Linked DNA regions of Oryza sativa Japonica Group. The protein of the gene in region 1 interacts with the protein of each later gene in a pairwise test. Links are inferred from orthologs where the notes say so. Each region holds a gene or a part of one and is shown on either strand. Other genes may lie near its edges.

Region 1 (5,990 bases):
AAATTAAAAGGAATAGAAATATATGGTCAAATAAAATCAAGATATTTTACTTCTTTTTTAAAAAAAAATAATCCATGCACGCCAGCGTTACTTACCATAACATTATGCCAAATCCCTGCACAATAAATCCGAAGCATAGAAAAAAGAGGTAAATTTTGCAGCTGGTCACAGTTCAGAGCAATTAATGCCCCAGGAAAAAGTGCAGCTACGAATACCGCAACATACTCAATCTGTATGCCCTCGCTGTTGCATATTTAGCAATGAATGTGTCAGCAATGTGCGAAAGGAATACTGTAAGCGGGTGAAAGTTAATATTGTAAGTCAACATATAAAGTATGCCTTCTGCAAATGAATGCAAACACATGCAGAACATCTCGTAGAAAATGTAGGTCAGCAAATAAGGACCTTGCAGCTGCAACAGCATGTCCAAATTCGTGAAAAGCAATAGAAAAAACTGTTGATGCTATGATTGCTGCGATGTCCATTATTGATATGCCAAAGCTGGAAGCCTGCAATAGATTAAGGGCATGCTGAATGGTTGATGTTAGAAGTTGAAAAATGAAGGGACAAATTGTAGTCACCAGTAGATTTTGTAGCCAGGTACTAAATGACCGACCACTGAAATAAACTGCACCAATTGAGTCCCACAATAGCATCTGAAACATGCAACAGACCACAGTACATAAACGTGCACATTTCAAGGCAAGTACAACATATGAAACTTTCCAAAATTTTAAAGAAAGGATGAAGACCACTACTATCCCAGTGATATCCTACACAGTTCATAAAAACAAATGTCGAGATTGATAGGGTGTGCTGGCTGTTCTAACGATTTAAGCAACAATGTCAACAGATTCATGATATAGGTAAGGTAATGAACATTTTTTAGTTGGCATACGTATTTCAGAGTATTGGTAATTATTCGACACTGAACTTACCACTGATATTCCAACTAAAGCAACAACAGAGAAATAAACCCCTGCAGAAAACCATGCTCTCATGTATCTGCCAAAAAGAAAGTTAACTAATTTACCATAACTTCAAATATCTTGGCATCAGCATAGTGAGCAGCAAGGAAACTATCAATATGGTTACCCCATCAGATTACACCTCCCCAAAGGGGCATGAGCTAAAACTTTCAGCAACAGCGAAGAAATTTAACTCCAAATGGTACAGATGGCTCCTAGAGTGCATTTTTTCTCATTCTTTTTAAAGAAAAGAAACCTTTGCATCTTATGTACAAAAATGAAATAAGGTGCTAACTTGGCTATATTCTTGTTTATAGTATGTAAAAGTCCATGGGTAATTATATAAATATATTCCTCTTTTCGCGGGGAAAAAGGGTACAATATGCACATCAAAGAAACACTGAGTAATTAAAGAAGATAAAAGGTCAAAAGTTAAGATAAAGCATACCTAGCATATCTCCATCCCAAATTAAATATGATGTCATTGAAGGAATATATTTTGCAGTCACAGTACCTAAATTTTGTATAAGCACAGTAAGTGAATATAATAATCATTGCCTCCACTAATACAAAATGACAGGAGTAAACTGCATTGAAATATACAAGAAATTGAAGAATAAATGAAAGATAAAATACGTGTCCAACATCTCATGCAGTACTATATAGAGTCGAATGCAATTTTTCCATGATAAGCTGATAAGCAGATTTAAAAGGAACAGAGAAACTTGTTGTCCTGAAAATTAAAACCATTCTGCGGATGGCTAGATGCAGGGGAGACAATTCAATTTATCAGGATTAGGGCTGAGGATGAATGGTGTATCCCAACAGCAGGTCTGAACCAGTGAACCCAACAGGATACATCACTGAAATTTGGTAAATCGATACAACACACAAATCGAATTTTCACCAACTGTTGAAAGTGTACTACTAGAAGAATGGAAACTACAACATTGCCAACCCATGTTAAATTTCCAAATCAAGCTTTATAATTTCGCCTAACGGTTGCCCGCATCCTACAAGCTCTAAATCAAGCTCTGCTCTACAAGAAACCAATGTAAAAGTACTGGGAAAATAATTACGAAGAACGCAAGCATAGGCTCGATTTAGCCGCGACTTAGGGTTTGGTGAGGGTAAGAAGCTAACTAGTACTACTAAAATCTGACTAGATCGAGCGGTTTTGAGTCAGAATCTCTCTACTTCACTGACCAGCAAGAGACGGAGTGCTCGGCGCGGCGGGCGGCGGCGCTCGAGGGCAGAACTGGCGGCGCACGGCCACGCCGCCTGCTGCGGCCGACGCCGCCGATCATTCCAGCGGCGACGGCGACGGCTTGGACACGGCAAGTTTTGGGGGGGGGGGGGGGGGGGATTAACTGCGCAGGGCGGAAATCTCAGCCGTCCGATTCAGATCGGAGGGTTCATATTAGCGATGGATTCCACTACGCCGACTGCTTTGGCTGATTGGCTCTCGCATTGTCACATTTAGCAAAGGAGCCCCTCCAATTTCACCAGATTTACATCTCCACCCTCCTCCTCCTCGTCTTCTTCCTTCCTCTTCCCATTCTGCTCGTCCGTCTCCGATTCGCAGCCACATCGACAGATCCAGCCGCGCCCCTGATCCAGTGGTAGCTCGAGCGAGGCTGCTATCACGGTGGAGGATTTTCGTCTGATTCGAGGAGGAATCGGTCGGGTCGAGCAGAGGAGCGGAAGAAGAAAGATTGGTCGGAAGGAGGAGAGAGGTGGGGATGATACTTCTCCAGTCGCCGTCCAGGTTCCTGCTCCAGATCCTGCAGGATCGCGTCCTCAGGTACGTCGCTGCGCGGCCGACCATCCCCTTTTCTTGATCCCGCTCGTCGCCCTTAGCTCATGCGGGTTTTGTGTGGTTTGCAGTGGCGACAAGGGCGTGGACATCGATTGCCACACGGTGGAATTCGACGATGTGCGGTATCATATCCAGGTAAGTAGTACCGTACTGCCGAATCTGGATATCCATTCTTGTGTGCCGCCTTAAGATTTAATGTTAAAATTGAGCTTGCTATCTATACATTGCTGCATGTGTAGAATGTGTTATGCTATGTTAAATATTTCGGTGCAGAGCTTCGTTCAGTTATTGGTATGTTGTATGCACGAAAATAATACCAGAAACACCTGAACTAAAGAACTGACCTGTTTTCTGGTGCTGAATTGCTCCACGATCTCATGCTATCCAAGTCATTGTTGCTACTGTGGTAATGAAATTGTTCTATAATAATTTGGTAAAATTGGCATCATATATTGGAGTGGATTGTATTTCACCTTCTAATCAAGATAATGAGGCTGCCCGCATATCTTTTGTATAAGCAGCCTTCCATAATATTGGTGATCATTTTCACTTATGAGCATATAATATTATACCTTGCTTGGAGGGTTCTGTATTTCACCTTTAATCAAGATAAACTCCTTAGAAGCTTAATTATCATATTTCCTTTTTCTTTTATGAATTTATTGAACTCTTGACATTACTTCATTATACATGTTTTGGGTGTTGGGATCAACTATTACCTGCTTCATATTTGATTTCCTAATGAATGCTGGTCTTTGGTTCCAGTTTTCTATGAGGAATCCAAAGGTAATGGTGCTATCAGTAGCATTGCCCCTCCCACCTCCTGAGGCCATGCTATATGATGGACTTCCACTTGGTGCTATCGAGGCAATAAAGGCAGCTTATGGACCAGTCGTTCAAATTCTTGATCCTCCAAAGGATGGCTTTGATCTCACAATGAAGATAAACTTGACAAAGCTTCCGCCAGATGAAGGTTCTAGAGTTCCCTTTCCAAGGTTACCATTGTCTTGTTGTGCTACATGATTGAATTAGATGATGGTTCTATGTACCTTGAGATGTCATCCATTGATAGAACTTTGGTGCAAGCTAATGGTTAGAAATGGATTCATCGTTTACAAATAGATGCTTTACGAAAATGTCAAATATGTTATGTATAGTGCATTTAATTATCATGGGCTTCTCAGACCATAAATTGGCTAATTGTAGAATCTTTTAGCTATATGGATTGATTTTGATGCCTTCTGTAAATGAAAGAGAAATGGAAGTCAGTAGGTTTTGGGCAGTCCATTGAACAAGTCCATTTCTTGTTGATAGAAGGAATTCTCATATTTCTGTTATACTGTCAGACTTCATATATTTGCTTGTAGATACTTGCACATATTCTTCCAAACATGGTAATGGATCAAATTACTGTTTGTGATTATTTATTTTGGTCAGGCCTATCAAAATCATGGAATCTCTATGTGTATCTTGTAACCATTATCCGGCTAACACTTTAATGTATTCCAGAGCAAAGGAATGCTGTCTTGACTCAAATTGCATCTGTGAGAGAGGTGGTGCTGGGTGCACCACTGAAACTTCTGCTGAAGCATCTAGCTTCAAAGACGGTGGCTCCTAATGTTGACAAGCTTGTTGCTCTTGTTCACCGTCCTAATGAATCCTTTTTCGTTGCTCCCCAGGTATAAATTTGAGAACTCCTATAAATGTATCTATCATACTTCAAAGCATAGTTTTCCTTTGGCAATGAACAGCTAGGTAGGTTCTTAGATATATCAATCTAGATTAATCTATTTAAGAGTTATGTATTTGACGTTTACTTTCAGTTCATACAGTCCATGAGATTAATTTCTTTTTCACAGGCAGACAAAGTTACAGTAGTATACCCTATGAGGTTCCAGGATTCCATTGATATAGTTTTAGCAACTTCCTTTCTGCAGGTATTTTGGACACTTCCTTCTTGTCTCTTTTATCTGCTTCAAGCAATTCATTTTCTAGTTTTTTTATGATCATTTATAGACATCTTCAACAAACCGATCTTTAGGCATTTAGCACTACTTTCATTAAGACTTGAACGGATATATGCCTTAACTTAATGGTTTTGTGAAAGTTTGTCTTGAGGCCATTTCTTGATGGCATAACCATATTATGAGAAGCAACTTATGGAAGGACACAATATGATGGGGCAGCTCTGCCTATTTTGTTTTAAACTTTTCTGGTTAAATCTAGGAATTTGTGGAAGCAAGGCGGACTAGCGCTCTTAACAACGCCCCTTCCTGCTTGTGGTCTCCAGTACCACCTCTTGAGTTAAAAGGAGTACCTTCTGATGCACTAAATGCAAATGCCGGTTTTGTTACTTTTGGTAATATGCATTTAAGCGTTTTCTTCTGTTTTTCTTTTCTATTGAAGACCCCTTTTTTGTCTCACTAACTCATCTTTATGCAGTTGTTTTCCCGCGGCATGTTGAGGGTAAAAAATTGGACAAAACAGTTTGGAGTTTGTTGACTTTTCATGCTTATGTAAGCTACCATGTGAAGGTAAGGTCCTTTTTTCTTATGTTGGCTGATCCATACTTCTCAATTAATCAAGTCCGTGCATCTGTCATCCATAATTGTGAATCAACCAATTGCATCCAATGCGCAGATTTTCCATCAATGGGTTAAATTTGGCTTAGTGAAGATGAAAATCCATTGTTTAATACTGAGCTCTACTGTTATGGACTATTTCCAAGAAGATAATATTCTTTTGGTTGCAAATGGCCCCAAGGAACACACTATTTGGATCTTTTGACCAGATTCCTGCCAAAATACCATCAAATTTTCCTAAGTCTATTCTGGGTGAATTTTTTTTCCAAAGATGAAAAATATCTGATTTGCCCAAGACAGCTGATATTGCTATTGCAGAAAGCCACCTTGGAACAAATTGGAACATTTTTCTTAAGCCACCTTCAGCATGGGATTTTAAGATTTTCATGATTCAGTAGTTGACACGGTACTTTATTGGGACATATTTTAACCTTGCCACAGTTCTCTTGTGCTCGCTTGTGAAACATTTCTCTTTGGCTTATATACATGATTTTTACTCTTCCATGACTTGTGGTTTTTAACTTCACAAGTTCTCAGTCCCTTCTGTTTCCTGTATGGCAGTGTTCTGAAGGATTCATGCACACCAGGATGAGACGTAGAGTTGAGACGCTGATCCAGGTA
Region 2 (5,782 bases), on another chromosome or scaffold:
AGAAGACAGTTGCAATTTCTTTCATATCTGAAATGGATAATGTCGCCGGTGCCGTTACGGAAGTTGTGAGCGCACGTCGCCGGACTTGCGCTTTTGGATGGTTGCGAGGAATATTCCGTCGTCAGCAGAGTAGATGCCTGAGCCGCGCGGCGACGGCGGCGCGATTGGCCGGTCGGCCGGTCCAAGTGCTTGGGCCGTTTCGGGAATCTCGTCATGCCGACCCATGGGAAAGCTTTTCTTACTTCGCTGGGCATGCGTATGCATATGCATGTGTCGCTGCCGCCGCCTACCGGGATGCTCTAGACGGTTGAAGAATTTCAACAAGGATATGCAGTCGTGATCTCTCTCTCTGCTTCTTTTTCTGCTTGCGTTTGCGTTTGCATGGCTAAAAAATTCAGCAATGGAGGCGCAGCGCCACGTTGATTGTTTCATCACGTTGCTCTCCTTTACTTCTTGACTAGGGAGACTGAGAAATTTGCAGCTAGAATGGGCAGATTTGAAAACTTATCTGAAAATTTCATAAAATTCCGTCCAAAATTGCTCCCGTCGGCCGATCCACGAGACCCATGGGCTGGATCACAAGCCACGTTGGGCCGGGCCGTATTTTTATCTACCAAGAAAAGCACCAAGTTGCGGGCAATTTTTTTTAACGACTCTGAAAAATTTTTGGATCTCGTGGTCGTAACAAGAAAAAAAATTATACCACCACACACATACCGACAGCTCTAAAATACAAACACAGAAGAATACTACCATCAGACTAGACGCTGCTAAGAGTGACCCGACCGCCACTAGACAATGTTGACGGCATTCCTCTTCCTCCGCCGCCATTGTTCTCTGCTCTCTGCTTCTGCTTCTCTCTGACAATGTTGACGGCAGTTGCGGGAAAAAATTGTTCAGTCCCTAGAAAAGAAAAAGGCCAATTTAGCTTTCTTATATATACTTGCTCCATTTTGTTAATATATTGACACCGTTAACTTTTCAACGCATGTTTAAGGGGTGGATCAGGAACAAAAAGAAAATTAGGGAGGGCTCAATTACGTAGTTTCTTCAACCTCCAGCCATTTAGGAACTTTTAGTCTATCATTCATGATAAAAAAATCGAAGGAGGTATTCTAAGGGTATCCATGCGTCTTGTGAGTGTAGGGATAACTCAATTCTCCCTGCATCCACGTTGGATCCGCCCCTGCATGTTTACTCATTTGTCTTATTTAAAAATTTTATGCAAAAAATATATGATACATGAATCATGTTTAAAGTATTTTAAATGATGAAATAACTCACGACAAAATAAATTATAATTACACAATTTTTTTCAATAAAACGAATGAACAAGTAAAAAAATTAACGATATCATCGTATATTAAAATACAAAGGTAGTAGCTCGAATACGAGTCATATTCCTCAACCGCAAAAAAAGATACTACTCCCTCCGTTTCAAAATGTTTGACGCCGTTGACTTTTTAGTATATGTTTGACTGTTCGTCTTATTAAAAAAATTATGAAATATGTAAAAATATATGTGTACATGAAAGTATATTTAACAATGAATCAAATGATATAAAAAGAATAAATAATTATTTAATTTTTTTAAATAAGATAAATGATCAAACACGTACTAAAAAGTCAATGGTGTCAAACATTTCGAAACGGAGGGAGTATATCACTGTTTTGAGAGTGGTTTGCACTGATATTTCCCCGGTTATCTGAGCCCTTGTGTTTTAGATGAAGGGCCCAGATTAGGCCTAACGCACCACTCTGCACTGGTAATACTTCCGTGGATCCGCATCGTCCTCCTTCCTTGTCGAGCCGAGCAGCGCATCATCTCCATCCCGCCTCAACTCCGCCGCTCGATCGCCTCCACCCGCCGCCGTTCCGTCTACCTCTCCGACCCCCGGCGGGCGCCGCCGCCGCCGCCGCGCCTACCATGGTAACCTCCTGCCCCCACCTTATCCCGTTCCCTTTCTCTACTTACGCCTCTCTCCGGATCTGGCCTCTGGGCCGGCGCCGCATTTCCCCTTTCCGCCCACCGCGACGAGGCCTCCTGGACCCGCCAGATCTCGCCTCGAAACCTGAACCCTTCCTCTGGTCTACTCCACGGTATATTGATGGATCGACGGAGCCCTTCCGATAACCGATCACGGATTCTAGAAGGATGGGATGAGATTGTTTGTCGCTTTGGTTCGAGATTGCATTTTTTTTTTAAAATCAGATTATTTGTGGCGTTTGCTTTGGAAGTATGGGTGAGTGCTCATGTGTTTGTGCTATTGTAGGCTAATACGCTGCGATTGTATCTCACTTGCATAAGGAACACTCTGGAGGCTGCCATGTGCCTGCAGGTCAAGGATCACCATTCCTTTGCATTCTGATCACCATGTTCTCCATGCTGAAATTTGCCTTCATAGATCATTTTCTGTCTTCTGTCCTCCATGAGTGTAATTTAATTTGCGTGTGTGTTTGCTTTACCTCCAGAATTTCCCTTGCCAAGAGGTCGAGAGGCACAACAAACCGGAGGTGGAGCTAAAGTAAGTCGTGCTTCAAACTGAATTTTGTTTATTCAATGCTTTAGTTATGACCATGACCAAGAGAAAATGTTGCACTGATGTTTTAGTTTGAGAAACTGGACTTTCAGCATGTAGTCGAAAATCAACATATAATTCACTATTGTAATGCAATATAATGTATTGTAAAGAGAACGATCTTCTTCTCCTTTTTTTTTCCTGTGCATTTGTTGGGTTCTGTTTTCCAAGGTGTTTCCTCATGAACCCATTCTCTAAACAGTCATAAATTTTTCCAAGTTAATTTCATAAGATGTATACAAAAGACCACCAATTCTATCATTGGCTCCTTTTATCCTTTATATATTTGTGGGAACCCTGTATTTCTATGTTACCACACTTAGTGAGAATAGACACTGAACTTGTAATTATACACGCCAATGCTGACTAATATATTTGGTCTAAAACATATCTTGCTATACAAATATTTTTTTCCTGTAGGGTTTCATGATTTCCTTTTGTTTTTATACCCTTCCTTGAAGTTCGTATACCTCTATTCTTCCCTCACAATTTATTCTTATTGCTTTTTACTTCGTTTTGCAGGACTAGCCCTGAACTTCTGCTGAACCCAGTAAGGAATCTCTCAGCATCATCTCCAATTCAGTCTATGATTCACCTGATTATTTAACACACTAGTGTAGAATTTTGATTTAATGACTCATTAATTACACTCAATTCACTTCTAAGTTAAAATATTTTCTCTACTGGATTATCTAGGGTACGCCAGAAATCACATATGCTAGAAGCAAATGCTACTCCATTAATTAAGTGAAAAACTGACAACACATGATGACGGAGTTCTGATTTTATCTTTCTAACAACACATGCCATTGTACCATGATGGAACTAATGTATTTTGACATTTGTTTCAAAAATTGTTGTCAATGTTTGCGCCACGCTTATGACTATGATACTTTATGATTTAAATACATGCGTATAAGGAATTTAGGATCGAAGGTGAACAGTGCACTTTGACATAGAGTACATGGCATAAGGCAGGAGCAGTTTCTGGTGACATGTCTGATATCCCTCATATTATGTGACCCTTATGAACTCTACTAAATTTTTTGTTGAAGGTGACTGATTTAGAATGATCTGCTGCCGTTTGGCTGTTTACTGGCAGATATAGCCTACGCCATTCTCCAAATTCTGCTTGTTTGGAGAGAAATTTTCTCTAGATGCCTCTAGTCTCTTAAGAATTATGACTCATAGAACTATAATATTTTCCTTCAAAACAGGTGCTCATTTGCCGTAATGAAGCAGAAAAGTGTTTGATAGAGACTTCAATCAACTCTATTCGTATTAGCATGAAGGTAATCATGAAATTATGATTGGATATTACTATGCTTATTGGGATAATATCAGTCAATCATTTGTCATCTGGTATACCATCATATGTTTTTCTCTTTATTGTTTGACAGGTCAAACAGGCAGATGAGCTAGAAAATATTCTTGCAAAGAAGTTTCTTAGGTTTTTATCAATGAGAGCAGAAGCATTCCAAGTGCTGAGGAGAAAACCAGTTCAGGTGGTTTTCCTTCTTGATGATCTGTTTCAATGCTCTTTAGCCAATTTTATACGTTTTCTGTTATCTGCTGAAAGTATTAGGAGTAGACTGCATTTTGTCAAGTCAGAGCATTGCATGACATCACTGGTCTAACTTGGTTTTGTTCATTTTCAGGGTTATGATATCAGTTTCCTGATAACAAACTACCACTGTGAGGACATGCACAAGCATAAGCTCATAGATTTCATTGTTCAGTTTATGGAGGTAAGGAAAAATGTTTTCCTTGGCTTTCCCATTTGCTACAGTTTGTGACTTTATACTCATATCACATATTCTGATTTGTGCTGTAGGACATCGACAAGGAGATCAGTGAGCTAAAGCTTTCGGTAAATACACGTGGTCGGTTAGTGGCAACTGAATTCCTGAAGCAGTTCATATGACACATTCTTGGCGATCTTTGGAAAACATAAAACCCTAGCATTGTTAGCTATGCTGTCTTGGCCTTTGGCGAGCAAATCTGGAAGGATCTTTCCACCACTTTGTTTTCCTTTTGTAAATGCGTTGACAAGGATATGTGAATTCTTGATCCAACTAGACCTCATTGGCAGCTAAAATCTGCCCAGGCAAGAGAGATGAGGGGAAACAAAGTCATGGTCAGTAGGTTGAGATAGATTTTTTGGCCTTTTGGTTCAAGAATCCTGTACTGTGCCGGCCAAGTTTTATTGGAATGTGGAATGTCAAAATTGGGGCTGATTCTGATTCTGATATGTCAAAATTGGAATGTGAAAATCAGAGACGCTTGTTGTCTCTGATTCTGATTTCAGTTCCATGGCAGGCTGCCTTAGCTGCGTAAATATATTTCACTGTTCAATCTATTAGCCTCAACAGTTGCCGTGAATTCCTGGTGAAGCAATCTATTTGTGCATACATACATGAATTTGACCAAGCTAACTGTCAACATCTATGCATGAATGAACATCTCGACGATGTGTCGATGTCCACGAACGTCGTTAACCTGGAGAACAAGATGTCCATGCAGAGACAGAGGAAAAAAAGGTCAAACCACCCCTTGGCCAGCTTATCTCCAGCTCCGGCTTCAAAAAAAGGTGTCCGCTTCACACGCAACGGATCGAATGTGCTTAACTTTTATGTGTGATTCATTAGCAGAAAATCTGAAATTTTCAGTGAAGGAACCAGGGGAAGAAAGGGCTAAGGTTTTCCCTATACGAAGATTTGTTTAGCTGCTGATGAATTGATTTCTTCACCATATGGCCACATTAGCTTCACTGTGCATACATACACGCATGATAAGGAGAAGAGAGCCATTGTTGTTGACTGAGAAGGAGATACGCATGCATTCATGTGGGTGGAAAAATTGAGGTTAAATGGGGGTCGGAGTTTTGTTCTCCGACCCCTTTTGCACCTTTTGAAAATGGCGTTACTCCTTCAAGCTCGCTGTCGCCGCTGCGGTTCGTCAAGAGTGCGAGCTAACAATGGCGGCAATTCAGGCTTGCAACATCTGAAAAGAAGGCTTGCACAATAAACCAGAATACATACTGAGTTTATTCAGACAAATTAAACAATCCATCGAATCCCGATTTCAGCAAGCTAGCAGAGCATTAATTCATTTCAGTAGGAAAACTTATCTTCCGTTTCAGATCAACAGCTCTGCATGGTGGTATGCAGCATCTGAAAAGAAAGCTTTTGCATAGTAAACCA

What was found. The genes of interacting proteins can lie anywhere in the genome.
Region 2: the proteins of actin-related protein 2/3 complex subunit 2A (region 1) and actin-related protein 2/3 complex subunit 4 interact in binary tests that used the Arabidopsis thaliana proteins (3 or more experiments, as listed by UniProt). The link is inferred for Oryza sativa Japonica Group from reciprocal best matches to the Arabidopsis thaliana genes DIS2 and ARPC4.

What each region holds. Positions count from the first base shown.
Region 1 is NC_089035.1:27,107,168-27,113,157, forward strand, and holds the start of actin-related protein 2/3 complex subunit 2A, read left to right. Parts: upstream 1-2,534; 5' UTR 2,535-2,710; coding exon 2,711-2,772; intron 2,773-2,855; coding exon 2,856-2,922; intron 2,923-3,552; coding exon 3,553-3,760; intron 3,761-4,296; coding exon 4,297-4,466; intron 4,467-4,646; coding exon 4,647-4,724; intron 4,725-5,013; coding exon 5,014-5,146; intron 5,147-5,229; coding exon 5,230-5,321; intron 5,322-5,930; coding exon 5,931-5,987; intron 5,988-5,990. Other genes in the region: membrane-bound transcription factor site-2 protease homolog, read right to left, coding at 96-243, 406-530, 582-656, 939-1,005, 1,417-1,482, 2,175-2,275. UniProt on the Arabidopsis thaliana protein: Functions as actin-binding component of the Arp2/3 complex which is involved in regulation of actin polymerization and together with an activating nucleation-promoting factor (NPF) mediates the formation of branched actin networks.
Region 2 is NC_089037.1:36,641,168-36,646,949, forward strand, and holds actin-related protein 2/3 complex subunit 4, read left to right. Parts: upstream 1-1,803; 5' UTR 1,804-1,927; coding exon 1,928-1,930; intron 1,931-2,273; coding exon 2,274-2,339; intron 2,340-2,472; coding exon 2,473-2,525; intron 2,526-3,101; coding exon 3,102-3,129; intron 3,130-3,796; coding exon 3,797-3,871; intron 3,872-3,979; coding exon 3,980-4,084; intron 4,085-4,237; coding exon 4,238-4,327; intron 4,328-4,413; coding exon 4,414-4,503; 3' UTR 4,504-4,890; downstream 4,891-5,782.